4 linked regions of the Neodiprion lecontei genome follow. The protein of the gene in region 2 purifies or fractionates together with the protein of the main gene of each other region. This does not show direct contact. Links are inferred from orthologs where the notes say so. Each region holds a gene or a part of one and is shown on either strand. Other genes may lie near its edges. The genes, in order: tetratricopeptide repeat protein 27, protein AAR2 homolog, co-chaperone protein daf-41 and protein ecdysoneless.

The links.
Region 1: the proteins of protein AAR2 homolog (region 2) and tetratricopeptide repeat protein 27 purify together in Homo sapiens (affinity purification with mass spectrometry; 3 studies listed by BioGRID and IntAct, with this or other methods). This does not show direct contact. The link is inferred for Neodiprion lecontei from reciprocal best matches to the Homo sapiens genes AAR2 and TTC27.
Region 3: the proteins of protein AAR2 homolog (region 2) and co-chaperone protein daf-41 purify together in Homo sapiens (affinity purification with mass spectrometry; 3 studies listed by BioGRID and IntAct, with this or other methods). This does not show direct contact. The link is inferred for Neodiprion lecontei from reciprocal best matches to the Homo sapiens genes AAR2 and PTGES3.
Region 4: the proteins of protein AAR2 homolog (region 2) and protein ecdysoneless purify together in Homo sapiens (affinity purification with mass spectrometry; 3 studies listed by BioGRID and IntAct, counting the BioPlex papers as one, with this or other methods). This does not show direct contact. The link is inferred for Neodiprion lecontei from reciprocal best matches to the Homo sapiens genes AAR2 and ECD.

Annotation. Positions count from the first base shown.
Region 1 is NC_060265.1:20,125,568-20,131,499, forward strand, and holds tetratricopeptide repeat protein 27, read right to left. Parts: upstream 3,965-5,932; 5' UTR 3,813-3,964; coding exon 3,740-3,812; intron 3,632-3,739; coding exon 2,773-3,631; intron 2,554-2,772; coding exon 2,487-2,553; intron 2,396-2,486; coding exon 2,063-2,395; intron 1,923-2,062; coding exon 1,749-1,922; intron 1,615-1,748; coding exon 1,462-1,614; intron 1,387-1,461; coding exon 1,225-1,386; intron 1,135-1,224; coding exon 541-1,134; 3' UTR 534-540; downstream 1-533. Other genes in the region: uncharacterized protein LOC107223251, read left to right, coding at 39-143; DNA helicase MCM9-like, read right to left, coding at 5,217-5,269, 5,414-5,580, 5,872-5,932.
Region 2 is NC_060260.1:3,707,323-3,713,823, reverse strand, and holds protein AAR2 homolog, read left to right. Parts: upstream 1-1,913; 5' UTR 1,914-2,125; intron 2,126-2,202; 5' UTR 2,203-2,254; coding exon 2,255-2,445; intron 2,446-2,539; coding exon 2,540-2,655; intron 2,656-2,728; coding exon 2,729-2,882; intron 2,883-2,943; coding exon 2,944-3,219; intron 3,220-3,300; coding exon 3,301-3,709; 3' UTR 3,710-5,426; downstream 5,427-6,501. Other genes in the region: matrix-remodeling-associated protein 5, read right to left, coding at 5,427-6,254. UniProt on the Homo sapiens protein: Component of the U5 snRNP complex that is required for spliceosome assembly and for pre-mRNA splicing.
Region 3 is NC_060263.1:36,975,624-36,981,504, forward strand, and holds co-chaperone protein daf-41, read left to right. Parts: upstream 1-1,805; 5' UTR 1,806-1,886; coding exon 1,887-2,014; intron 2,015-2,743; coding exon 2,744-3,134; intron 3,135-5,011; coding exon 5,012-5,140; 3' UTR 5,141-5,354; downstream 5,355-5,881. UniProt on the Homo sapiens protein: Cytosolic prostaglandin synthase that catalyzes the oxidoreduction of prostaglandin endoperoxide H2 (PGH2) to prostaglandin E2 (PGE2).
Region 4 is NC_060261.1:11,728,904-11,736,681, forward strand, and holds protein ecdysoneless, read left to right. Parts: upstream 1-1,744; 5' UTR 1,745-2,130; coding exon 2,131-2,380; intron 2,381-3,108; coding exon 3,109-3,602; intron 3,603-4,749; coding exon 4,750-5,221; intron 5,222-5,436; coding exon 5,437-5,626; intron 5,627-6,428; coding exon 6,429-6,879; 3' UTR 6,880-7,679; downstream 7,680-7,778. Other genes in the region: uncharacterized protein LOC107217828, read right to left, coding at 323-518, 671-833, 1,038-1,141. UniProt on the Homo sapiens protein: Regulator of p53/TP53 stability and function. Inhibits MDM2-mediated degradation of p53/TP53 possibly by cooperating in part with TXNIP. May be involved transcriptional regulation. In vitro has intrinsic transactivation activity enhanced by EP300.

The sequences.
Region 1 (5,932 bases), on a different chromosome or scaffold from region 2:
ATACGTAACATTACGCGTCAACGTTATCGTCGTTTCAGGTTGGCATCCTGTCGTACGGATCGGATTGCGAAATTAATTCAAATTCACCGTCTGCGTATGTAAGCGTTGCAAAATACGCCGACTGGATTCTCACCAATTCTTAAATATATATATATATACATTAAGACTAAAAAAAGGCAAATTTGAGCCTTTCTTATTTCCTCAATAGAATTTTTTTTACAATCTCACAAAATAGTAAGAAGTAAACGTCATTAATAAAATACTGTAAAATTATATCAAACTGATTTTGTCCGACATCCCATTTAGTTCTAGTCAGCAGCTTTGAATTTCTGGTGTCAAAGTATACCTGACACGGCAGCTACTTGGTAGTGTAGAGGAATTTCAATTATCACAAGTGGCTTATGTGAGAGTATCATGGAATCATTTTCGTAAAGTGTATCCTGCACGTTGTCCAGTAAGCGATTAAGCTTAATTCAAGTTTCAGTATTTGATAACAGTCAAGTAAATGAATAGACACCGGAAATAAAAGTAGATTATTTTCTAAAGAACTATATTCTGCGAAACGTAATTGGAATCAACATTTATTTTTCTCAACTCATCCAAGATTTTGGTCAAGTATGCTTCGATATTTGCCAATGATTCGTCGATGTCCTTTTGGCCAATCCAATCCTGATCCTTAACTTTCCTCACGACGCCTTGTAGGGACAATTTCGCGCTACCCAGCATCGCTCTTCTTTGTAGCGGTGATCCAGATTCTGCACACTTCAAGTATGACTCTGCCAAATCGGCGCATAAATTAAGCACGTCTTTCGTCGCTTCTACCTCCTTGAACCATTTCGGATTGGCAACAGCGGTACGATGCGCTCTCTGCAAGTATTGAGCCGCTTTCTGATAATCCATTTCCGTATTCTTTGTTGCCGTCAGCTCGGCGTACATCTGCCAAATCGAAGCATTATTCGGCACTGCCGCAGTCAAATGTCCAAATAGTTCCAAGGCTTTCTGGAGTAGTCTACTAGCAGGATTACCATCGGCATCTGTTATATCCGTGATAATTGCCTTGGTAAGAATTTTCAAAATTTGTACGTCAGTGTGATGAGCTTTCAGCTCGAGAATACGGTGGTAACACCGAATCACCTACAAAAGGAGAATCAAATTTTTCGTACGATTTGACTGAATTTTTTTTATCATTACTGTTCTCGCCCGAAAAGCCTCGATTCTTCTTACCTCCGAGAAATGACCCAAGTCAATACTAACTACCATTAGATTGTCCCACACTTCCCACCTATCGAAGTTGCATTTGACCGCATCTTGAAGGGATCGCCAAGCTCGGGGTTTGTCTCCGAGCTTGATATACGCTTTCGCCAAGTTGTTCCACGCCTCGAAATTCTAGTAAGTAAAAAGAAGGATTGAATAAACAAGTTTCACCAATATTGCATTCATTTTGCCGATAGATGTACTGACCATTTGCTCTAGAGCACAATAATGACGGTATGCATTAGCTGCCAATTTCCAATCTTCAATTTGCAATGCAGCAAATCCAAGCCTAATCCATATATTCTCTTGAATATTATTCAATTCCACAGACAATTTCAAATGCGGTACTGCCTCTGTGTACTGTAAGAATTGTAAATTCATTGTTACACTGAATGTTTGAATTTGTCTTCAAGATTGATTAAAATCAATTGCATTAGATACGATCTTTGATACATGAGATAAAAATTTGATTAGCGCTATCTCAGTAAACTTACATTTTGTTTTGAATAATAATGCAGGCCCCAGTGCCTTTGGGCACGGCTGCTCTTTTCACCAGATAATTTCCATGCAGTTTCATAACATTTTGTATCCTGCGTTGAATCACCTAAGAGACACCAAAGTTTTACTGTTGGCTTCTTATCGATTTCTTGTTGAATTATTTCTGCAGCCTGAAAGAGTTAGATGAAATGATATCACAATACCATAGGTAGTCATGAGTAGATGTTGATAGTTCTGAGCAAATGTCGCGTGGTGCTTGATCTCAATCAGTTGGAGATTAAAAAAATTGATTTTACAGAAATTTGCGCACCTTGTGTCTCAATTCTAATATAGTGTAGCACACAATTACGCTTTCCCAGAGTCGGAGATGCAAGTACAGCTCAAGAGCGCTCTTGACCATGCCTAGATTAAGCATCAGATCAGCCAAGGTTTGTCTAACTTCCCAGACAGGTTTCATACCACTGGCGAAAAATATATCCATACGATGGGAGACTAATGGCTTTGAAGAATTCAATTGCTCAATCAGATACTCTGTCTGTGACATAGATCTTTCAACGGTTCTTTTGTGATTCGATTCCAATATACAACGCTGACACAAAGATGACATTCTTAATGGCCAGTTACTCGAATTCTCTATAACATTCTGATACAAATGTCACATAATTAAATTATCTGTAAAATAAATTGCAATCAAGACTGGATTCCTAAATCAATTCATAAACATCAATTCTCACAATTAGGTATGGTACAACCTCTTCGTCAGCAAGTTTGTCTTTCGGTTGGGATTTTTGAATCTGAAAACTGCAAAAAATGAAAATTAAATGATATTAATTTCCTGGTATAATTTATTACTGATGTATGTACGAAAATTTTCAATTCAACGAATAGTAGTGTACGATTAATTAATGGAATTAAACTTATGGAGTTAAATATTTGCATAGATGTCGACGCATTTTCCCACAACAATTCTATAACCAACTTCTGGTAATGAGGTGAAATTTAAATATTTACCATACATACTATTTTGCTAAAACAACTGCTTCTTCCAAGGCACCCAGTTCAATAATTTCTGCAGGTTCAGAATATTCTACTCGTTCCAATCGCAAGTCATCTTTTAGTTCAAGAGCAGTGGGCAAATCTTGACACTTTCTGTACGGGAAATTGTCTTTGTCCATGGAAACTTTCAACATTAACTGAGCTTTCTCATCTTGTTGGTACTTGGTGCGTTTACCGAGCATGCCGACTAACTGCATGTTTAGTTTTGCCGAATGCTGAGCAATTTCCACGTGTTTTTCCATGTTCTGTATCCTTCTATGATACAAATAAAACTGCACAGCCTCGACATGGAACAACGTCCTGAGGTACTCATCACTCAAAATATCATCAGCAGAAATTTTTTCTACTAAATCCTCAGTTTCTTTGAATAAAGTTGCAGAAGCTTCTTCGAGAACAATTTGATGCAGTAAATTGGCTCTGAATAACCACCAAGCAGCAGTTCTGTGATGATTTTGTAATGTTTCATTAGAAAGCAATATTTTCGATAGATACAACAGCTCAGGCTTCTTCACATTTTCATTGCATTCATCTTCAAGGTGCAAAAACTCCAATGCCTCCTCACGTTTGCCCAATAACCAATCAATGTCCGGCGTATTTTCTGGGCCAGTGAAGTTAGTTTGGACAAAAAACAACAGCGAAGCTATCCCAACAGATAATAACTGAAACGTGCAGTTAGGATCATCGTTCACAGCGTCATGTAGGGTTTTTACGAGATTATTGTTATTGACAAACTTCTTGAGATAAGATGAACAGAATTTATTATTCAAGATTTGTTCATAATGTCCCATGTGGAATTCCTCAATACTGGGTAATGCCTGCGGGGCTGAAATATATTCAATTTGAGTGTAAGAAATTTGTGTTTGCTTTTTCGGGAACATGTGATATTTTCTTGCGCACAAATTTACATACGCAGAACAGAAGTTAACCTTACCTGAGTCATCCAAAAAATTCGTGATGAGTTTTACCTCAGAATTTTTCAGGTCTTCAGTATGCATTTTCTCCATATTTACGTTCGAATTTAGAAAACACGCTTGTCACAAGTCATCAAGGAGTACGCATATGTTTTTCTGCTACTAAATACCCGTGCAACAAATATTACCGGACAAGTGGCAACAAATCGATACGGTAGTGTTGTCGTTAGCCACGAATTATACGATACGCAATAGAGTGTAGTACGCTATACGGAAAATCTAACCATGTTTCCAAGGTCGCGGAGTCGCAAGTCCACGCACAAATGGCGTGGTGAATTCTCGAAAGGATTGACGATCATTTGGTTGACAAATTATTAGAGATTATTAGTTAGTTCGGCTTGTTTCATAGAATCAGCCAATGGTATAATGATTTTAGTTAACATTTACAAACATACGGGAAATCAAAAAACACCTGTAGTTGAACATCTCGAGTGTCATACCTGTATAACCTTTGCAATGGTACGACAAGTACGTATGATTCTAAAATATCGCTAATATCATGGAAATTACATTTAATAATACAGCAGAATCATAGAAGGAATTAATTACTTCGCGAGCTTACCCATTACCCACATCTGCTGGAAGGTAAACCATTTCCGATTTGCTCCACGCTGTCGCTTATGGTTTCGAAATCACAACACTCGATACGATAGTAATTATTTCTACTCAACCTTGAAGTATCCCGGAATTGTTTTATTCAAACTATTTGCAAGTTCTTATCTGTATTCATTGATGATAATATTTTATTGTTGCGCAGAAAATAGCTAGGCATAAGTATACAGCTGACGAGGAAAGTTATATTAGTGAAGTTCCTGGATATTGATTTCAAATTTAATAACGCATGAAGTGTTTGGTACGCTTTGTATCGCTTCATGAAGCAATAATTAGGTCCAGTTACAACTGCTGAGTTTCCGGTTGAAAAAAGAATCAAAGAACTCAAAAATTTCAAGCACATCACGGGATCAAACGTACACAGGCGGCACTCGGAAGTTGTCAGGCATTTATTTAAAGTTATTATTGATGGCGTTCGAGATACATACGTTGTTTCGCAGGCCCGAAAGAAAAGACATATTACATGTGCACGACGATAGTAGAAACTACAGATTCTTGATAATGATAAATATGTGAATTAATTATCAATCATTCTAGCATGAAATAGTAGATCAAAACAGGATCTCGAGGATAATTACATTATTACAAATAAATGATCTAAAACTAACATAAAATAAAGTTAGAAATATGACATTACTAAATTATAGCAAAAATATATTCCTCTAGTACTTTTAATGTAAAAAAAAAAAAACACAACAAGAATTAGGAATACAGCTTTGTGGATTTCTTTAACTCGCATTTGTACTGTAATTAACATTATTAATTAACAGTTCTTTTATTATTTATCAAATGCATGTTCATCTAATTAACCGTTGAAAATATTCATCACAGTTGAACACTCAGATGTCCCAAGTTGAGCTTGTCGAGGATATCAATCCCTAAAAATACAAATCACCTGTAGCACAGCGTATAACAGGTAAGTGTACGGTGTCTACGTGAACAAAATCTGAACAAGGTTGTACACCGTTAACCAAAATACGAAGTTAATTCCTTGACCTAGTGAACTTTGTCTATCTCGTTACCTTCTTTGCGATAATCGGCCATTGGATCTGCAGGAAAACGATGACCAGTAACAGTTGAGCTATAAGTAGAATTCATAGGACCGGTTCCCACCAATTGCGCAGCTACCAAAGCATCCATTAATTCTACTTGCGTACGGTACATCAGACGAGCATGACCCTCGGCTAACCTATTGTACATTAGAATTACTTGATAGTCCAATCATTACGGTGATGATGATGATGATGATAATGATAATAATAATTATTATTATAATGATAATTATTCCCGCTATAGCCTTTCCGATATGTCTCCATAAGTGAGTAGCTTGTGCAAGGTGACGGAGGGCTGGCTTAGTGACCATCATTATGCATAGTAGATCTCTATTATTTGTCAATATTTCAGGATGTAATGGCAAAACCTATGTGTGTGTTGTAATTATTAACAGTTAAAATTCTAACAAAAAGCTTAGATTAGTTACCTAACAAGGCTTTCTAAGAGTCGTACAGTTGTCCTTTCTGCTCTTCTTTCTGGATTCAACC
Region 2 (6,501 bases):
TAACGATGATAAAATACATAATATTAGTAATAATAATATTATTAAAAATAATCAACAATCTATAACACACATAGTCACAGAGTAAAATGTGATTTAATTATAAATACCTATCTAAGTAACGTAGCTGAGAAAGGAGAAAAATTAGGAAAAACATAAGATTAATAAATATAGGACTGAAGGACATCACTTATATTGTAATTGTAGTGCCTAAACAGAAGATTTTGCGCGGTACGGCAAAGTAAAATTAAATGAATTACATATATATATACATATATATTTTGCGTTCGCCCGGCAGTACTTGGTTACAAATTTTCGTAAGATGAGGCCGCTTTCTATGTATAAACGCGGTATAAATGCTCAGAAACCAGAAATTGTGCAGCCAGTATGAATAATCTGGTGCCCCTCCAAAACAGCTTCGGAGCTGCCTAACGGAGGCTATTATTTTTATATTTCAATTATTACAATGGATAGAAAATGTAAGTTAGCTAGCATGGGCTGACAATGACCAGGATTCTGATCGACGGTTATTATATACGATTGTTTGTATTATATTAAATTTAACATGTAGAAGGAACGTATTATCATCGTATTATGATTTCAATAACCGTGATATATCATTGTAATATCGATACACACGTGTAAATAGTTGATACATGAATATAGGTCAATGAATAAATGAATAAATAGATATGTATAGATACACATATATATATCTATACACAACCGTATACATATATCATAAAATATTTAAATAGTTTTAATGTAAATGAATTAGGTAATATGTAAGGAAATTACGGTAACGTGACAAGATTAATAAATTGAAATTACGTAAATATAAGATGTACCAATTTTATTTTTGAAAGCGATAACTTTTGAATTTCTCCCTCACGTAATAATGCTTTTTTTAGGTATTTAGGTAAGTTGAAATAAAATATAGTCCTAGTTATTTTTACAGCACATCGAGATTTATTTTTATGAAAAAAATAAATAAAATGAATATGAGACTGAATGTTTAGGTACAAAATGTACAGAATTAGATTCAAACAAGACTTGAGAGACTAGATAAATCAAATAGACTTGTAATATCTTTTTCTACTTTCTTAAAAATTCCTGTTCAATCTGTTTCTATTGTACTGACGATTCGGTTCATCTTATCATTGAACAGGAGTTTTGAATAAAGTAGAGAAGGATATCACAAGTGTGTTCGATTTATCTAGTCTCTTTAGTCTTGTTTGAACATCATGCTGTTCATTTTATACCTAAACATTCAGTTTTATATTTATTTTTATTTATTTATCTTCTTTTTTCCATCAAAATAGTTCGAAAATGCATAAAAATAAATCTCGATGTGCTTCAAAAAAACAAGCGCTATATTTTAATTCAACATACCTAAATACCTAAAAAAAATTTAAAAGTTACATTTCGCAGGCCTGTGTTATCATTGGCAATTTAATTCCATCTTGTGTCATTCAATTAATCTTTTTCATATCATTTCAAATTTCTTACACTTGTAATTGAAACATATATAAGCGCATATTCTGAGACTCTAATAATTATATAAAACTAGGACAAATTAATGTAATTTAATAATTACCAAGACTGTAGCTTTAGAAAATTAGTAATCAATAGATATGTGTATCAGGAATTCTCGGATCATAATCAGATCGCCGGTTATGCTTAATTTGAAAAAAAGCCTTGGAAGTAATTGAAGTAATAATATTGCGTGAAATAATTATTGGTAAAATCAATAACTATTGCCGCTGCAAAGAACGTTCGCATTAAATTCTATTTTGCCGGCAGGCTGTAAAACACATTACAGGTGACGCTTGGATCGGTACGATAAATGGAAACATGAAACATGGAGTCAGAAATCTCTAAAATCCATAGACATACAAAATCAGCTGTAGATGCGCGTCCGCCAATCAAAGGCCGCAACTCCGACTGTCGGCTTGTGAATTATGTGCGTGACGGTTCACCGTGTTTGTCAAAAAGTCTTAATTTTGTGCATTACAAATAATTATAAAATGGCGACATGAGAACGACGCAAATTTGTCGATGCCTCTATTCATTTCAGAGCGTAAAATCGTACTTGACATACGTACGTCGCAGCATAAATGTAAAATCGGTGAGTAAATAGGTTATAAACTATACTTCAATCTTAACATTTGTACACGCTTATTTCATTTTTATTATGTTTTGTAGAGGATGTAAAGATTCGATGTCCAAAGTGTAACTTTGAAGGATTATTTGAAAAATGAGCAACAAGGAAAGTGTCGAAATGGATCAGGAATTGGCTAAACGCCTCTTGGTTGAAGGGGCGACTTTGGTTCTGCTCAATGTTCCTCTGGGGACGGATTTTGGAGTTGATATGAAGTCTTGGAACACCGGTGAAAAGTTCAAGGGCGTTAAAATGATTCCTCCAGGGTTTCACTATATTCATTACAGGTGAATGAAACTGTGAACAAGAATTAGCAAGGCTTTATGATAGAATCATCGATGATTGAAACAAACTCTATTCATTCCACTTGATATGTTGCAGTGCTGTCAATGAGTTTGGAGATCTTGCACCCCGTTCAGGCTTCATTCACAACTTCAAGAAGTCTGAATTCTTGGCCATGTCTTGGGACGCGGAGAAAGAGGATGTCAGCACAAAACGTACGGACTTCTTAATTCTTCCCGTATACAATTTACATCAGCATCCACATATTGACACCTTTTTCTCTTGCAGCTCCTTCGGAAGAAACGGTACGTAGCTTAAAACAGAATCTAACTAGCCTTGATCAGTTTCTTGGCCCCTATCCGTATGACATTTGGGAACAGTGGAAGGGATTGACCAACACAATTGACGATGCGGTTGTAGAAAGATGTACACCAGTTTGTGGGTATGGAAAGCTTTCGGCATTAATAACTCCTCTACATATACTAATACTGCTCATTTTTCAGGTACATCCGATCAGCTCTGGAGTTGGAGAATTGTGACGATGCTTCTAGACCACGAGGAGGAGAGGCTGTGGAGAAGCGAACTCGACGCAGCGGTTTGTCCGCCGAGGACAGAGAGCAGCAGCTGCTTCCCCAATTGAAACCAAGAGCTGGGACTGAACTGAGGCTAACTAAGCTACCGGATAAAAGCTATCCTGATGGAGCAACACCTGCCGAAATAACGCAACATTCTCTTGATTCGAGCTACGCCCTGGAAAAAATGTTGGCTGAATTGAAAAAGTCTGTGGAGTATCTGGTTTTCATTTGGAATAAGGAGCGAAAGTTGTATACGGCTATTAATTGAAAATCATGAAATTACAGCCCGATAGAAATAATGGGAGAACTTCAGCTGGCGTTCATCTGCTTCCTGGTAGGACAAAGCTTGGATGCGTTTGAGCACTGGAAGAAGTTGGTCGGTCTTTTGTGCGGGGCCGACACGGCGATACCGTTGCGGCGTTCCATTTACTCGGAGTTTCTAAACACATTGGAGGCTCAAGTGGCCTGCGTCCCGGAAGAAGTGCTGTGCGACATTGTGGCTAGCAATAATTTCGTATATCACAACTTGCGTAATTTGTTTGCCAATATTGAATCTAACGACAAAGTCGACGGACGTCTGAAAACCCAGGCGGTCCGAGTGCGCGATAGACTCACGAAAAAGTTTCTCTGGGACTTTACTTGTCTGCAAGACGAAGAAGACGATGAAGCACCTGTCGTTGTGTCACTGGACTGAAAGGGGACAAAGAGTTACGAAGATACTTTTGACTGATTGAATATTAACAATAAGAGGTGGATTGAATTCATTTGTATCGTGTATAAATAAGAAAACCGTTCATCTCGGCAACTAGAATACATTGAGATACTCACACTGTCATGAAAGATGAGAAACTTGAATATCCGATAGAGTTCGACTCTATAGGATAACGTGAAATTACGAAATGTTTTGAAAAATTGCACAAATCTAAAATCTACATGTAATTATTACATTGGAACTACGAAATTGTGCTTTTTGTTATCCATCGCACCGTGATTTCTCTCTGTACGTAAGAAGGTCTCGTTTTTCATTTTCAGAAGAATTGCTGTAATAATTGTATCTCCTAATGTAAACGTACGTTGAAATTCCTAGCTTCTCTCATGAGTTCAAAGTGAGACACGCGTTATATCGCTATCACTCGTTTATCAAATAATTACGAAAAAAAATCATAACGAGCGCGTCGATAAACATTTCCAATAATGAGTTACGGGCTGTATCTAACATGGTTCTCGTCCATCCAGTTTTCTAGTGTATTTCTTCATTTTCAAGACCACACATTATACTCGTGTGCGATGTCTGCGGTTTGGAAATCGCGAGGGCTGATCTTGAAACGCAAGTAATTTGTTGTAGCTGATATCATGGCTCAATTTGTTGGATTCGTTAATCATTCAGCGAGATTATCGGCAGGTTCGGAAGGCCCTGGAACCTCGGAGCTTCCTTTACAATCTCGCGTTCATTTCCGGGTAGGTACGTAATCGTCGTCCTCGATTACTGTGACCGTCGACTTAACGATTTCCAGCTTTACGAAATTCTGCGAAAACTATAAATCGTTGCCAATAATGCAGAGAATTAGAATTACGGTCAGCTTCTCGCGATGAAACCCCATACTGCCGAGATAGAGGAAAACACTGAACAGTGAATAATTGCGATTAATGTACACAAGATATATTTATACGCAAGAATTTTTTAGTTGCTGCAAATGCAATTGTTTACAATAACATAAATTGAATGACAAAATGTTGTAACCTCTGATTCGCTTTATCGATCTGTAAACTCCGATAAATCGGTCAGTGACTGCAGAGTCAAAGTCTAGTCTAGTGTGCCGTCAGTAATATATAATTTGCATAATCAATTTCATGCGGATTCGCGCTTATACGCATAGAGGATAGACTATTTGCACTTGTCTACTTTCGTGTAGGTTGGCATGACTCGCTACAGCTACGTATAAATTCTGGGAAAACGATCCTTAAATTACAATACAGTGTAACTGTAGGAGAATAACAACAAGGGTTAATATACTGAGGTTAATCCAGCTCAATTTCCATATATTTGCAGTTTCACTTATGTAAGACTCGACTGCCGCAACAACAAAAAAAAAAAGGGGGGGATTGGGAAAATTAAATTTTGAAATAATTGCATATAAGCACGTCAACACAGTGTGAGTATAATATTTCTTTGCAGTGAATTTTCAGAGAATGTAATCTACATTTTATTAACACTGCATCACATAATTGCAGATCTGACAACAATCGATGGTCAATCAGAATATTACCTTTGGAGTGATCACGAGATGTGAACAATGCGGAGAAATATTGTGGGCATTGGTAAGTGTGACCTAATTTCTAATTAGATACAGTATTAATAGCCGTATTAAGCGTTAAGTTATGACACATTATTCGAGCTATTCTACTTATTTTCAATCTTCATTACAATCTAAGAAAGGTGACGATTTCTTCTCCAGAAATTCGCAGAACTGTTTAATGGTGTAATTCTCTCGGTTGGGTAATAATTCGCTGGTTCTGTTTTCAATACATTTGTTAAAACTTTCTTCGTCAAGATAAGACTTGGGTAATTTGTTTGAACACATTTTAATAAGCTCGTAGGGTGCATCTTTATACTCGGGGAAGTGGTGCCCTGTCTCAATGTTCTTGCCCTTCAACCAGTCTATTATCATGTCTTGGCACATCCACGTGAGACGATTGAACTGGAAGTAGAGCTCCTTCACTTTGAAATTGGTTAACGAAGCAATTGGAAGACACGTTATCTTGTTCGAGGAAATGTCCACCACTTGCAACGGGGACGTGGAGAAGAAACTGTCTTCTATGTGCTTAATTTGATTGTTTTGGAACGAAACAACCCGCAATTTCGAAAGTCCCTCAAACCAGGCGCCCTTTATGACCTGCAATTTGCCTCCGGTGACGGCCAAAAATTCCAGCTCTGTCAGTCCCTGAAAAGCGTTGTTCTCGATTTCTTCGGTACCACAGTAGAAAAATCCCAATCGTGCCAAATTCTTACTCAAACGGTCGAAAGATCTGTCCAGCACAATTTTTATGTTAGAATTACCAAACGTCACTCTGTCCACGTCGATTGGTGCCCTTTCCACATCGGCCAAATAATTATTCGTCCTGAAGCACTGGTACCAGTACACATTCGGCTTCGCATTTCGAAGCAAACACGAACTCCTGGACAAACGGGCAAACCCTACCGTGCCGAAGATGAATGCTAACAAACCGTGGAGCTTCATACTGATCCTTGAACGAACGCAGACTGAATTATCCCGAATGGTCAGCGAAATCTTATACCGCGGATGTCGCGCTCTCCGACTCCAGCGCGTAATTCAACCAATAGAGAAGAAGAGACGATAATATGGAAGACCGCGTGCTCGAAGATTATCCTCGTGCAACTTCCCCAGAGTGTCTATTACTGGAACAACCTTCTGCGAACTAGTTGGCCTGGTTAAAGAGGCAAGTATAACTGATAGTTTGTCAAAT
Region 3 (5,881 bases), on a different chromosome or scaffold from region 2:
TTTGTCCTTGTAGAAGAGCGAACTTGTAGACATGGTGTTAATTTTAATTAAACAAACAAGCACTGATCTGGGCTACCTCAAACAAACAGCAAGTCAATACTCAGATTTGATACGGTCGTCATGATTGCTTTATTTAACATACATGCAATACGATACTGACTACATAGTTTAACACACTGCAGTCCACTGGCCACTGACGGATTGTACACATTGAACCGAACCGAGTTTTATATTTATAAAGAAAAAGCAAAACGAAAAAGTACTTCGCTGATCGGAGATAATGATGAGCGCACAGTGTCTGTCCATGCCATGGATGTACGTATGTGGCAAGGCATCAAAGCAGACGCTCGCCGTGTCGCAACTATAATTATTTAACTAATTTATTATGTATCTCAAGTATATAGTAGTGGACACTCGGCGGTCTATTCGTCACCTGGATTCAACTCGAAGGAGAAAGAGACTGGAAAACCTACTGTGTATGTCCAGTTAGATCGTCGCTACCAGAAGGGTACAGCCCCTCCATATCCATTGCAAGTGACCTACAATCTAAGTGCTGTTCCTCCCTACCACCTTCTCATCTCTTACCGATCTTAAGGAAGATTGGAGAGTTTGGTCAATACGGATTCCTCGATACGAACGGGTGGATTCGGCTTCTACGATCGTTTCGACACAAAACGTTGATAAAAAACTATCATCCAAATGATAATTATCACTCAAACGGAAACGCTGTAAGAGGGATAGATTTTTCGAAATATATGCGTTTCGCGAATATTTATACTTATCGCGGAAGCGCAAATTTCAGAATTTCATATATTTGTGTCCTCGATTTTTGATATTAATTTATTTATGTTGCAGCTATACTCCACGCGCGTAAATCTTCTACTCACTACCTGTGCAATAGATCGAGAAAGTTGATCACTTTTTTTTTCTCTCTCTCTTTCTCCTTCTTTTCATTTTATTTTAGTCGTACGTTCAACTTTGCTGCTTAAAAATTGTTATTGTAAAAACTTTGACGGAAGAATAGAGCATGGCGTATGGCAAGCGTTACTAAAGAATCGGTAGATTAATTGTTTTTAGAATTGTTGGGATTGTGTGATATTACACTTTTGACTAAAAGTTAGTTGAAAAGATGCAAACATTATTGTGCTGTGAATTTGAAATTTTACCGCATCGATGCAAATATGTATGGCACGCAATTGCTTTCGTTTACTCTTAGGTAAACCGAGATCGCCGAGAGATCATACTCGTATATTGATGCAGGTAGTCATCTATTATTGAAACTGACAATATGTATCATTACAAACGCTGGGTAATTCGAAAATGATTCAGTTATATTATAATTGATGTCTTTCTGACTCAGTCACGATGAAACGATTCATCCGATTTTCTTTACATAACGATTCTGTGAGTATATGACGATGAGAACTATTTAGCATAATCTATTAAATAATATCCAATGTGGTAACCTGTGCTTACCTATAAACCGCAATAGCAGTCAACATCCATCTTTATCGAAATGCCGGTTTTCGCATCAAGATACTATTACGACCACGTTCAATATGCGTTGCATCATTTTTCCACTTTGAATTCCCCGGGCTGAGCGTATCCTTCGATTATCTCGAAATCGATTTCGATTCGGATGAAAATCGATCTTCTCTCGTATCGAGACATCGAACCACGAATACATTGATGATCGTACGGCGATAAAAATATATTTTTAACCTGTCCACTTTTTGCTCGCCGCTAACAATTGCGAAGCGAGGGATACTTTTAGAGTTATTCCATCAACGGGATTCTTTGTTCTGCGGTGTGACAGGCATTATTATACGTTTTAAGTTTCGAGATTTGCCCAATAATAATGGCCGACGCTCTATTGTCCTGTCGATATGAATACACCTCGAAGATTGAATATCGAAAACATTTCTCGAGTTAGTTGTGCGGCGCGGTACGTAAGTCTTGCACGTTTGTTTCTTTTCGCTGGAAAAAGCAGCTACAAAATGACTCAAGAGGGACAGTAAGTAGCTAATAATTGACTTAAGCCTAGTTCAAAATGTAGAGTTGGATTTTGTGTCGAAACCTGGCTCACCGTCCGGTACATTATTCGTGCTAAATTGATTGTAAAAATACGCCTGCCGCCCTGCAGGCTTTCGAAACGCCGCCATGTTGTGAAATGGTTTTATTGATTCTCGAAATTTCTAGAAAACTAGTTCTAACCGACAATATTTACCTCGGGAGGGCTCCCTTATTAAATTATCGAATAAACTATTATCTATTCCTGTAATCGACGTCATGCCAACCGAATAAAACACCCTCTCGACCTCTCGAGACGCTTCGAATTCCCAAGCGGCTTGATGCGGCTCATGCTCGTAATCGTGTAACACGAGAGTACGAAAATGTTTTCTCTACTGATAAATCTGGCTTCTTATCAGCAGCCCCTCGTTATTCGATTGCTCGCTCTCAGTGTCTACCCTGGATAATTTACGGCGCCATAAAAAAAAATACTGCCCTTTGTCGATACATCAATCGCCATTCGCACTTCCGGCGTATTATGACTTGCCATTATTTTCCTTCCCCATGACCACGTTTTGAATACCACGAGTTCAATAAACCAGTCACATTTTTTCGTAATTCGAATATCTAGCTCATTCATATCGCGGCTCGAAACGTCATGTTCATAACCAAGAATTTTTTTTTACGTTTTACTTGATATTTACGAATTCTTGCTGTCCTTGTTTATTCTCAGGGTGACACCTCCGCCGGTGATGTGGGCGCAAAGAAGTAACGTAGTGTACGTTACTATATGTCTGGAGGACTGTAAAGATCCCACAATCAAAGTTGAGCCCGATAAAATATATTTCTATGGTATTGGCGGCACTGAACGTAAGGCGCACGAGGTAACAATCAATTTGTACAAAGAAATCGACCCAGAAAAGACAATCCAAACTCCAAAGGGCAGGAATTTCGAATTGGTCCTTACAAAAAAGACTCTTGGACCATACTGGCCGCACCTGACGAAAGACAAACAAAAGTATCACTGGCTGAAAAGTGACTTCAACAAATGGCAAGATGAAGACGATAGCGAAGATGAAGCATCCTTCGGCGGTGGTGGTGGCGGAAACCGTGACTTGGAAGAGGTAACATTGATTGATCTGCTTAATTAATTCATTTTCATGAAAAGAGTCGTAATGTTTAGTCTTTTCACATGAAAATTGATAAACTGTACACGAGGGTGGTTTGTGGAAAACAATTGTGTATTTTTCCATCCTTCAAATATGTCGTTTCAACTGTATTTTAAAAATTTCACAACCCACTAGATTCCATAAATCTCTTTCTAAATTATCCCATGATACAACAAAATAAAATAGAATGTTTTTCAAATTTATAAGTGTGCATTAACTGAGCATAGAGTATAAGTTTGTCGATTCTCTTTGTGAATGATATTGATGGCGGAGTATAATCTTTGGCATTGTGATGACCAGTCAGGCGTCAAACAACAAATTTCATCCAAGAAAGCAGCTTTAAACTAAGATTCTCTCAGAAGTAAATAGTACTTTATGTGGCATGCCCGTAAAGTTGGTGTTTTTACGGCAAGGATAATGAACGAGTAAATTTCATTACAAGGTAAAAGCTAGCCAAAAGCGAGTAATGAAATCATTATACGAGCCAAAAGTACTTTACGGGTGCACCCCGCACAATGTTTTTTGCTGGCAAAACATGATAAGTCCCTTTGCCGTCTGTTGAAATCTACACCTCGGATCGTGCAACAGAAGTCGGAACTGCTGTATAAAGTCTATATGCCAGTTCTGAGATGCACACTTAGAACTGGGGATCGAAACTGCCGTATAAAGTCTTTGTATTCTATTCTGAGGTTAGCGGTACAAAGTGACACTTTACAGATCGAAAACAGGCGTCAAAAAGTGACTTTTTCATGCCTGTGTTAAAAAAACGAGTATATATGTGATATTCTTTATCTACAATTGTCGGTAGCTATTTAAATAGAAGAAACTTTGATTTATAGCTTCATATTCTTAAAATAATCGGTATCTCGTTTAAACAATTTAATTAAATGTATTTTGAGATTTCACGTGAACTTAACGCTATTGTATGTAACAAAGAAATGTTTCAAGCTTCAGGATTTTTAACTCAATAAGAGTTCAATATATCTTTTTTGTTTCATTTACATACGCTTAATGTTGAGCATACTGCATTGCCGAATGACAAAAAGCATAATATAATCCGTCGAACTTACCATAAAAAATAATGTAATAGTATATTGCGATACGAGTGCGTGAAGTTGGCGATACCTGACGAGCGTGAAGTTTGTTGCTCGAGCCGAAGGCGAGTGCAGCAATGAAACCCGTATTTATGACACATGATAATTTTTGCAACACCTGTAATGGGAAGTTCGACTTGAGACAATCGTAAACGTGGTCTAATGTTAATGTAGATGTGTTACTGCAACACAGCCGACGAAACTGTAGTCACGAGTCGATTGCGTCAAATGGCACTAGTTGTACTAGTTTAGCTCAGAAAACTGTTAGAAAAATACGAGTTCCTAACAGTTGTGTGATATTTCCCAACAGTTTCTGAACTGTGAGGAATGGGGTACTTCGCACATCCGCCACAGTGCACAAAGTCAAACTTCCCATGCAGGTGTTACAAAAACATCTTTTCATTCGCGTTTGGATACAGTTATAGTATTTCGTTATTAAATCTTATTGGCAAAGTACCCACTGTAAAGTTACACCTTAAAACTTATTTCATATTTTTTACCTTTAAAAGGCCTACCCGGCTCTTTTAGGAGTCAGCAGATAACTCGGAACCTCCACCTGATGTGTTGACTATTTATATACATAAATCATACCTCTAAATAATATTGAATTTCAAGGACAAAATGCCAGCCCTCTAAAAGTTAAAAATTATTTTTGCCAGAGTTGAAGTTTTGCAAAGTTTCTCATTGAGCGCTCTAATACAGAAAGTTCATATTTTTTTTTGCTTCTTCATTTTACAGATGATGCGCCAAATGGGAGGTTTGGGTGGTTCTGGAGACCGCAAGCCAAGTTTTGACGATTTAGATGACATGGGAGATGACGCCGATGGTCCAGACAGTGATGACGATGATATGCCAGATTTGGAATGAAATTGTTTGAAAAAAATCAACTTACCCTCTCGGAAAGAATTGTGAGCTAAAACAGGTGTTCTTTACAGGCGGAAACTTTCGCATGGCCGTCTTGTTTAGGAAAAAAAAAAAAATTCCATTGCGAATGCTTTTTGCAATTTTAGAATCAATGGCCAACAACGTAATACCTAACTTTTAGCTAAGCGCGGTGCGCGAAAGACCGAAAACTTGAAAAGAAGAAAAAATATATAATAACATCTTATAAAAAAAAAATAATGTTGCTGGTAAACGACGAGCAGCCGTACAGTTTTCGACCTCCCCCACCACTACCCATCCCTTAGTCTTTAGCTCGTAAACTAAGTTATAATGCAAAAGCTTTTTTTTTAACAATGAATGAATTAAATGTGTAAAATATTAAGAAGGATATAAAGAAAACCAATAAATGGAAAAAAAAACAGTCTGTTTATTTGATAAAAACTGTCGAGGCTAGATCTCCACATGTGTGAAATGCCTGCTCACACTACGTTAAGAAAAAGAAAACTGGTACATGAACGATTTATTTGATTATTCACATAAGTGAATAACAAGGAAGTTGTTTTCTTGTATATGTAAAAAATAGTTTACACCAAAGCAGGTTATGAAGTACTTACGTAACCATTTCATCGATATTAAAAACTTCCAACAACATTGCGTACAATAGAAGATAAATTGCTGTACCAACGACCACTGCCTAAAATTCAATGTATAAAATTTGTAACAAAA
Region 4 (7,778 bases), on a different chromosome or scaffold from region 2:
GTGCAAACTTTTTCAGCTATATACCAGAGAAATAAATTTCAATCATTTTCTAAAAATTCTTATTTCTTTTGGAAAATTATTCCAGTATACAGAAACACGAGAACACCAATATTCTTTAGATTTGTAATGCGAAATAAGGAGTTTAGGCAAAATAAGAAATATGAGTTTGATCTAGAAATTGGGTCAGATATTCACCTCCAGTTCGACTTAATTAAAAATAATCAAAAGCTTTCTTGAAGCTTGTAAAATCCTTCAAACATCATCAAAATAATTTAAACTATGTCAACATTTGAAAGCAATAATTCTATGTCTGTTAATTTACCCTCAGAATTGGATAACTCATCAAATTTTTCATCGTCGTCACTAAAATTTTCCTCATCCAAATATTTTACTTCCTCAGGGTCATCTTCCACCTCTTGGTGATTAATCTGTGATACAGTTTTCTGCTTCAGAGATTGGGGCAATCTGCTTTGATCGGACTTGTGCAATGTAATGTGAAACTCCTCATCCAAGGGACCCTGTAATGTGCTGAATTTTTCGAATACCCAAAAAAATTTATATAAGACACAACGCAGTTTCATTCTTCATTTGATAGTGTCGCATTGTGTCTCATTGAAAATACAGATAGGTTGCTTGTAAATACAATTTCTATACTTTGATACATACTTACATATGGTATTGCAAACTCTCTGAGTCTCACACAAGACTGGGACGTCCTGTCGAACGCATTTTCTGGAAAATGAATTGAGCATATCATAGGACTCGCGCCTCTGGGCTCTGGAATACACAGGCTATCGAGCCACTTTTGTCGTTTCGTTGGATCTTTTGGTAACCTAAGAAAATACACAGACGTAAAGAAATTATCTGCAAAAATATCGATACCTGTATCATTAATAATATCATTGGTATCGTTGTTGTTTTTTTTTCCCGCTAACATATACTCAAAAAACAACCAAATGATATTAAAATCAAGGTTCAGGTAAAATAATCCCATACGTAACGTAACATAAAGTAAAAGCGATATAAGTTTGACTAACCTATGAAAAGTTACTTTGTATTTCTTCTCTAACAATTTTTGTCTTTTTGATTTACGAGCCTCTGCCGATACATTCGTACAATTTAACGCAATACACGACGGCATTATTTCGTTTCTTCCTAAATAAGTTTAATACAAATTATTAGCTTTATCATTATACACTTGCTCGTTAACAACGTTTCAATGACGCGCGTTGCCCGTTACAATCTGAACCAAAAAACACTCATCCTAAGATGGTCGTAATCATGTAGCCTAGATATAAAGAGAACGATCGACATAGGCTGTTTGGCTTTATTTGCGGTCTGAAAGGAGGGAAAATATTACAGTTTTTACCATGTCCACCAGAATGGCGCTGGTGACATTAAGGCCAGGTCGATATCTGTATCATGCGATTACGGTATTCCCCTTATTCATAAATTTTCGGCCGTGTCTCATACATTACGATCGTTCTCCTTATATCTAGGCTCTGTAGCCGAAGTAAAAATTTTCCCTCGTGTCTCTCCTGTCTCTCTAAAACCCATTGAAATACAATAATACTGGAACTTGCACCACGCGTTAAAGACGTGTGTCGTCGCCAGCATCCTTGGTGAATATCAAAGGCGGGTGTAATTGCAATATGGTCTCGAGATTGGTAATCAGTTGATCGTTTTAGGTTTATTTATCATATTTTACTTCTGGTATAGAAAACATCATTCAATCTGACTGTAGTCCAATACCTACTCATCTCTGCCAATACAATGCAAGTAGTGCAGTAAATCATCACTAGATGGCGTTGCATTCGTAGTTTGTATTTAGTCTCTATAGGGACTCTACTTTGTACTGCTTTTGAATAGTAATACGTTTAGCAAACTGTATTTTCGTGCATCATGGTGCATCAGATCAGCGTCGATGGAGGAATGATTCAAAAGCTCTAGTCTGCAACTTGGTATTTGAAAAGTTAGGTTATGTCAGGGCTGATTCACTCCGTTGTTCATTTTGCAATATGCATAGATCGCAGTTAGATCAAAGTATGTATGTAATTGTGAAAAGTTGAATGACATTAACTGAGGAGAAATCAAAGAATAAGTATAATCTGATTACTGAAACGATCAATCATGTCAATCCCGCTGCAGTATACTAGAGAGGATGATCTTGTCGAGTGTTTTCTTTTTCCACACTTGTGTTACAAATCGACGGAGGAAATATCTCAAGATGAATTAGTATCTGAAATAAACAAATACAATAATCGAATTTCAAAGTATACTCATGAATACATATGGCATAGAGACTCGTTAGGCTTTCAAGCCAGAACAAAGAATATTATCCAGCTCAACAAAGAACTTGATGGTGGAGCTCGAGTGGAAGGTAAAGTAAGATAATGTTTTGTAGGTATGAAAATGTGTGTCACCAATTTCATTGCATGAATTATACAGGGTGTCCCTAAATTGCCTCCCACGGACTAGCCAGCATAATACCTCGTTAAAATCCAACCGAGAATTTCTTTTCCGGAAGATCGTCCGACGCATAGTTTTTGAATTATAAGCGATAGCGCTAGGCCAATCAGAGTGCACCATTTCATCTAGATTTGCCGCCACGGAAATTGCTGTTTTGTTCGTCTGGGTGAATTATTATTATTTGTTTACGAATTAAATATCGGCACCTCCCCTCTTTCGCTGCTGTACCCCTTATGCTTGAGGATGCGCTTCTGTTTACACACACAAGTGTGCGCCCATGGATGTGCGGCCGGCAGCGTATGCCGCGGCAACAATACCGAGGTCAGCGCTCGAGAAGGGGTACAACAGGGAGAGAGGGGAGGTGCCGATATTTAATTCGTAAACGAATAATAATAATTCACCCAGTCGAACAAAACAGCAATATCCGTGGCGGCAAATCTAGATGAAATGGTGCACTCTGATTGGCCTAGCGCTATCGCTTATAATTCAAAAACTACGCGTCGGACGAGCTTCCGGAAAAAAAATTCTCGGTTGGATTTTAACGAGGTATCATGCTATCTAGTCCGTGGGAGGCAATTTAGGGACACCCTGTATACCCTTCAATTTATAGCACTATTAGTTCCAGTTCCTCTTTTGTAGATTATCAGCTACCACCACACATATATGCTAGTCTGCGATTTGACGAGGATGTTGGTGACGAGTGGTTTCTTGTGTTTCTGGTAATGGAACTGACGAAGGCATTCGATGGCTTAATCGTAAAATTGGTTGACTCTGATGGAGAATTTTTGCTAATTGAAGCTGCAGAGTCTTTGCCAAGTTGGGCGACACCACAAACTTGTCAGGATCGTGTTTTCATATATAATGGCGAAATACATGTTGTTAGAGATGAAAACCTGTCTTATATAGAAATGCTGCGAAACATCAGAGAGAAACCTACAGCTTCCAGAATGCAGTATGGTATACAAGCTGCTATTCAAAAGAAAATTGCCATATACCCAGAGGAAATACAAAACAGAATCCACAAAGCTCGGGTCTTTTTACCAGAAAGAGCTATCGCCATACTAAAACAGGAACCTGGTTTGATCGCAGCTGCACTGAGGACTGTTTGTCAATCGGATCCACTTGAGAGAAAAGTAAGTGTACCAATTTTCACTGAAATATCAGGGGCCAATTTGTAGATTTGTCTTTAATTTTTTTGAGTTTCAGAACAGATTATCTTGAATCCGATTTTTATCTGTATAATTTATTCTCCATTTCCATTTATTTCCATTTCAATTACTCTGCGATTTTTTTTTCAATCGTTGCCATGTTGTCCACTAGTGAAAAAAACTGGGAAGTCGAGAAAAATCTAAAAAATTCTAAAAATAACCTGGGAAATTAGAGAAAAGTCAGGGAGATTTATTATTAATTTTATTTATATTCATTAATTTCGTTTATTCATACATTTTTATGTTTTTGAACTTACATCCAACATTTATTTATTTAACTTTGCAATACCTCAGTATTCCTACAAATATATTTATATACCCGTATCTTTATTTTTGACTTGTATAATCTGTGTATTTCATCTTTTAATCCCACTTTTCAAATAAAATACTAAATTCATAGGCTTCTAGTAGTAACTCCCCTTTTAGCATTTCTTCTATTTTCCTCTTGGCACCCTCTGCCATATGTTTTCCATCCATGTTTCCCATCTGTCCCCCAATTTCTTGTCCATACTCTTATACTCTTACATGTATACTGCAGGAAATTTTATTATCATTCGAGGAATTTTACGGCAGTGTACTAAAATAAAAAAGAATAGAGCTTTTTTGATGAAGAAAAGAAATTCGGGAAACAATTTTTTTTTACGTGCTCGGTTCCATGACTTATATAGATCATAAATGTGTTTTTGAAAACCGATTGATTTGGAACTCTATATATTAGGTAGCCGAATTGGCGCTATTAGTCTGAATTTTAGTTATAAACAAATTACATTTTGGTCAAGAAAAGTTAGGGAGAAGACTGGGAATTTTTTTTTACTATTTTTAGTGCCCACCATGGTTAAACAGCCATATTTTATAATGTGGACTTGATTCTGTAAGCATTTCTAGAAAATAAATTCCTCTAAATCTTGTTATTTAAATTTTTGTAACGTAGTGAAGTCTATATACAAGCAACTGAAGAAGTTTAAAGATGGATTTTTATACAAAGTTCACTTTCAAGGCTTATAACACTTGAACTATTCGAGCTGCGGATTTCTAAACAACCTAATAACAGATATCTGGTTATTTCTTCCAGGTTTGCCAAGCGATGAAGTACTTTCCACCAGAACAACGTGCCATGGTCAATGTGAAAATGACTAGATGCCTATACGCGATGGCAACTCACTGTCGTTACGCTGGGGATCCAAGAACTGGTTGGAATTTACCTTCACCCAATGATTCTTGTCATAAGCCGCATTTGTTGGGGATAAAGATATCGTGTGGATTGGAAATGCTTGTTGCACGAGCCAGTCGCAAAATCAAACAGAATGAAGACAATGAAAATAAAAATGAAACCGAATGGGTTGCATATCTGAAACGGTTGACAGCAAACGGATATTTCCGAAATCTTTTAGAGGGTAGTCAAGAATACAATCGACTGCTTAGAATGGCCAAGGAGTATTTTCAATCCAGTTCCAGGGATCATTCTTTATTTGGTGACAAGAACGAGGCTCATCGAATATTGGAGACCTGGCGTAATGCTCCGCACCATGATATCGAGTCATTGAGTAAGACGTCTACGATCTTAGAAATTAACTCTGATTTCTAAACACATCTTGTGTACTTCTTTTAAGCGTACCATTTGTATATATATTTAAAGAAAAATTCAAGTTTATTGTTTCAAAATCAACACTACTTCAAAATATGAAATTGTTATCATCAAAAGCATATTTTAAGTGGAAGACGTGCTGTGTGCACATGCTGTATTTAGTTTTTGTAATAGGTGAAGGGCGATTGAGCCCTCCAGACAATGATAACTGGCTCAACATAGATCCAGAACAACTGCACTCAATGCTGGACCAGCAGTGGTCATCAAATGATCGAATGGTAGATCAGCACCCGCCATCAATCCAAGAGAAAGTTCGGGAATTTTTGCAACATTCAAGCGACGTAGATGGAGTTCAGTTCCCGGGGTACGTTGTTCATAATTTTGGAATGAAAAGACTGTTTTGAGAGTAAATTAGCCAGACCGTCAAATTAAAGAATTATGAAAAGAGAAAGAATCGTTCAAGAAATCTCCATGAATATATTATTTGCATGAATAATAAATAAAGAACACGAGTGGAACAGCAATTCTATTATCTATTATATAATAAGTTATCAATAATTGGAGTAAAAGCTTTCATAACTAGAAAGATTGAAATGATTGAACTTTCTTGTTCTTTATCCGATTCTAATGCTAATGGGCTCATTTTGTTCACCATAGAGACTTCCATAGATCACCTAAAAATTTCTACTTACCATTATCTGCAGAGTGGATAAAAATATATTACTGACTACTGTCATTAAAGTATAACAGACCTTCATCAGCAATTACATTTGTGCATTATAGCTATAGGTTGATTACAAATTTCTTGCATGTTTCTCATACAATTTGTGATAATTTAGTTAGTGAACTAAGCCGAAAAACATTAGAATCTGATCAAAAACATCAGAGTTTAAGCTCTTGGAACGTTTCTAAGTGTAAAACTTTTTAAATTCTTGACATCTTAGCTTTAACTATTTGAATTTGCTCGGAATCTTTTGTATTATACAGTGGGGATGTTGTTTCATTCGTGATTACTATCATTGATTTGAGCAACATCTCTGGAAATTTTGCAAAACAGTTTTATTCTCTATCCCAACTTTTGATTCTGACGGTCTAACCAATTCATCTTTAATTTGACTTCGATCTGGTCTGAGTTGCATAGCCAATAGTGATGATTTATGATTCAGCCAACTGTCCAAGTCAAATGACGATAACAGCGAAATCAGAGCAAATGGTGATGCCGATGATACGAGGATAGACTTCAATGCAGATGCATTTGATTCCGCTTTACGTGGAATCTTGGATCTTGTTGTGCCAGGAGATGAAAATGATTTCGACAGCAACTCGGAAGGTTCGTTGGGTGGAAGCGAGGAGGATAAAGGTGGTGAATTGGACAAGTACATGAGACTGCTCGACTCTCAACTAGAAATGGATTTGCACCTTAGCGGATTACGAGAAAAATCTAATACAGACACTTGCGTTGAAGATTCGACTATGGAGCTAAATTTAAAAGAAAGCGCAGAAGGTGAAGCAGGAGGTGCAGGAGCTGTTGGAAATATTCTTGGCGGACCCATTCGACGTCTCTTGCATTTACACCTGCAATCACCCTCGACTGTTCCACCTGACTTACAAAGTTAAATTTTTCACAATTATCATTAATTTTAAGTACGACGTCAGTAGTCAGCTTATCTCCAATATATTTGGACGAAAAGCAATCGTATTAGCCAATGTATTGTGAATTGGCAACTATTGACTTGCACTATTTTTATTTTTTTATTCTCGTTTTATATCTTTTGTATTATCAACACTAGCAGTAAAGTTCTGTTATAACTTTCCAAATATTTCGTCTATTAAACGCAATTGTAAATTAATATTATCGTAAACATTTGAGAGCGAGAATTCCTTCTTCGTCTAATAAACGGCAATCGCCTATACTTACTTACTGAATTCGTTGTTTTGGCGATACGCCAATTGCATAGCTCATAAGGATGCGCCTGCTTTCGCGACAAGATCCAACGTAAGTTGGATTATTAAGCTTGGACTACAAACACTCACGTCTATTCGTATGCGTATGTACAAATAAATACTTGTATACAACACCTTGCGATATGTCGGACAACATACGATAGGAATGGGCGACATACATTCATGATGTTTCGACTACCGATGTTTTTTAAAGTCTATGGAAAATATTGAACTATCGATATCGTCAAGCCGAAAGTAATTTAAATTTCTGTGCAAACATCTGTCAGCAACTTATCTATAATAAGTAAATACACATTACTAATTGTAAGGTCGATAATAAATCTGTATTTTCTACGAAATTTCTCGCTGTTAATTAGAGTATTTAAATATTTAACTTTCCATAATTTACTTTATATTAAATTCTCATATTTTGTACACATTCTTAATTAACAATAATGATAATTAAAAATTTTCGCGATCATTTTTCTTTTTACAATTATAGTTAGAAATGTTTTAACTTTCGCGCCTGTTTTCGCCATCGATATTAACAATCTATTTTTCGATATTTACAG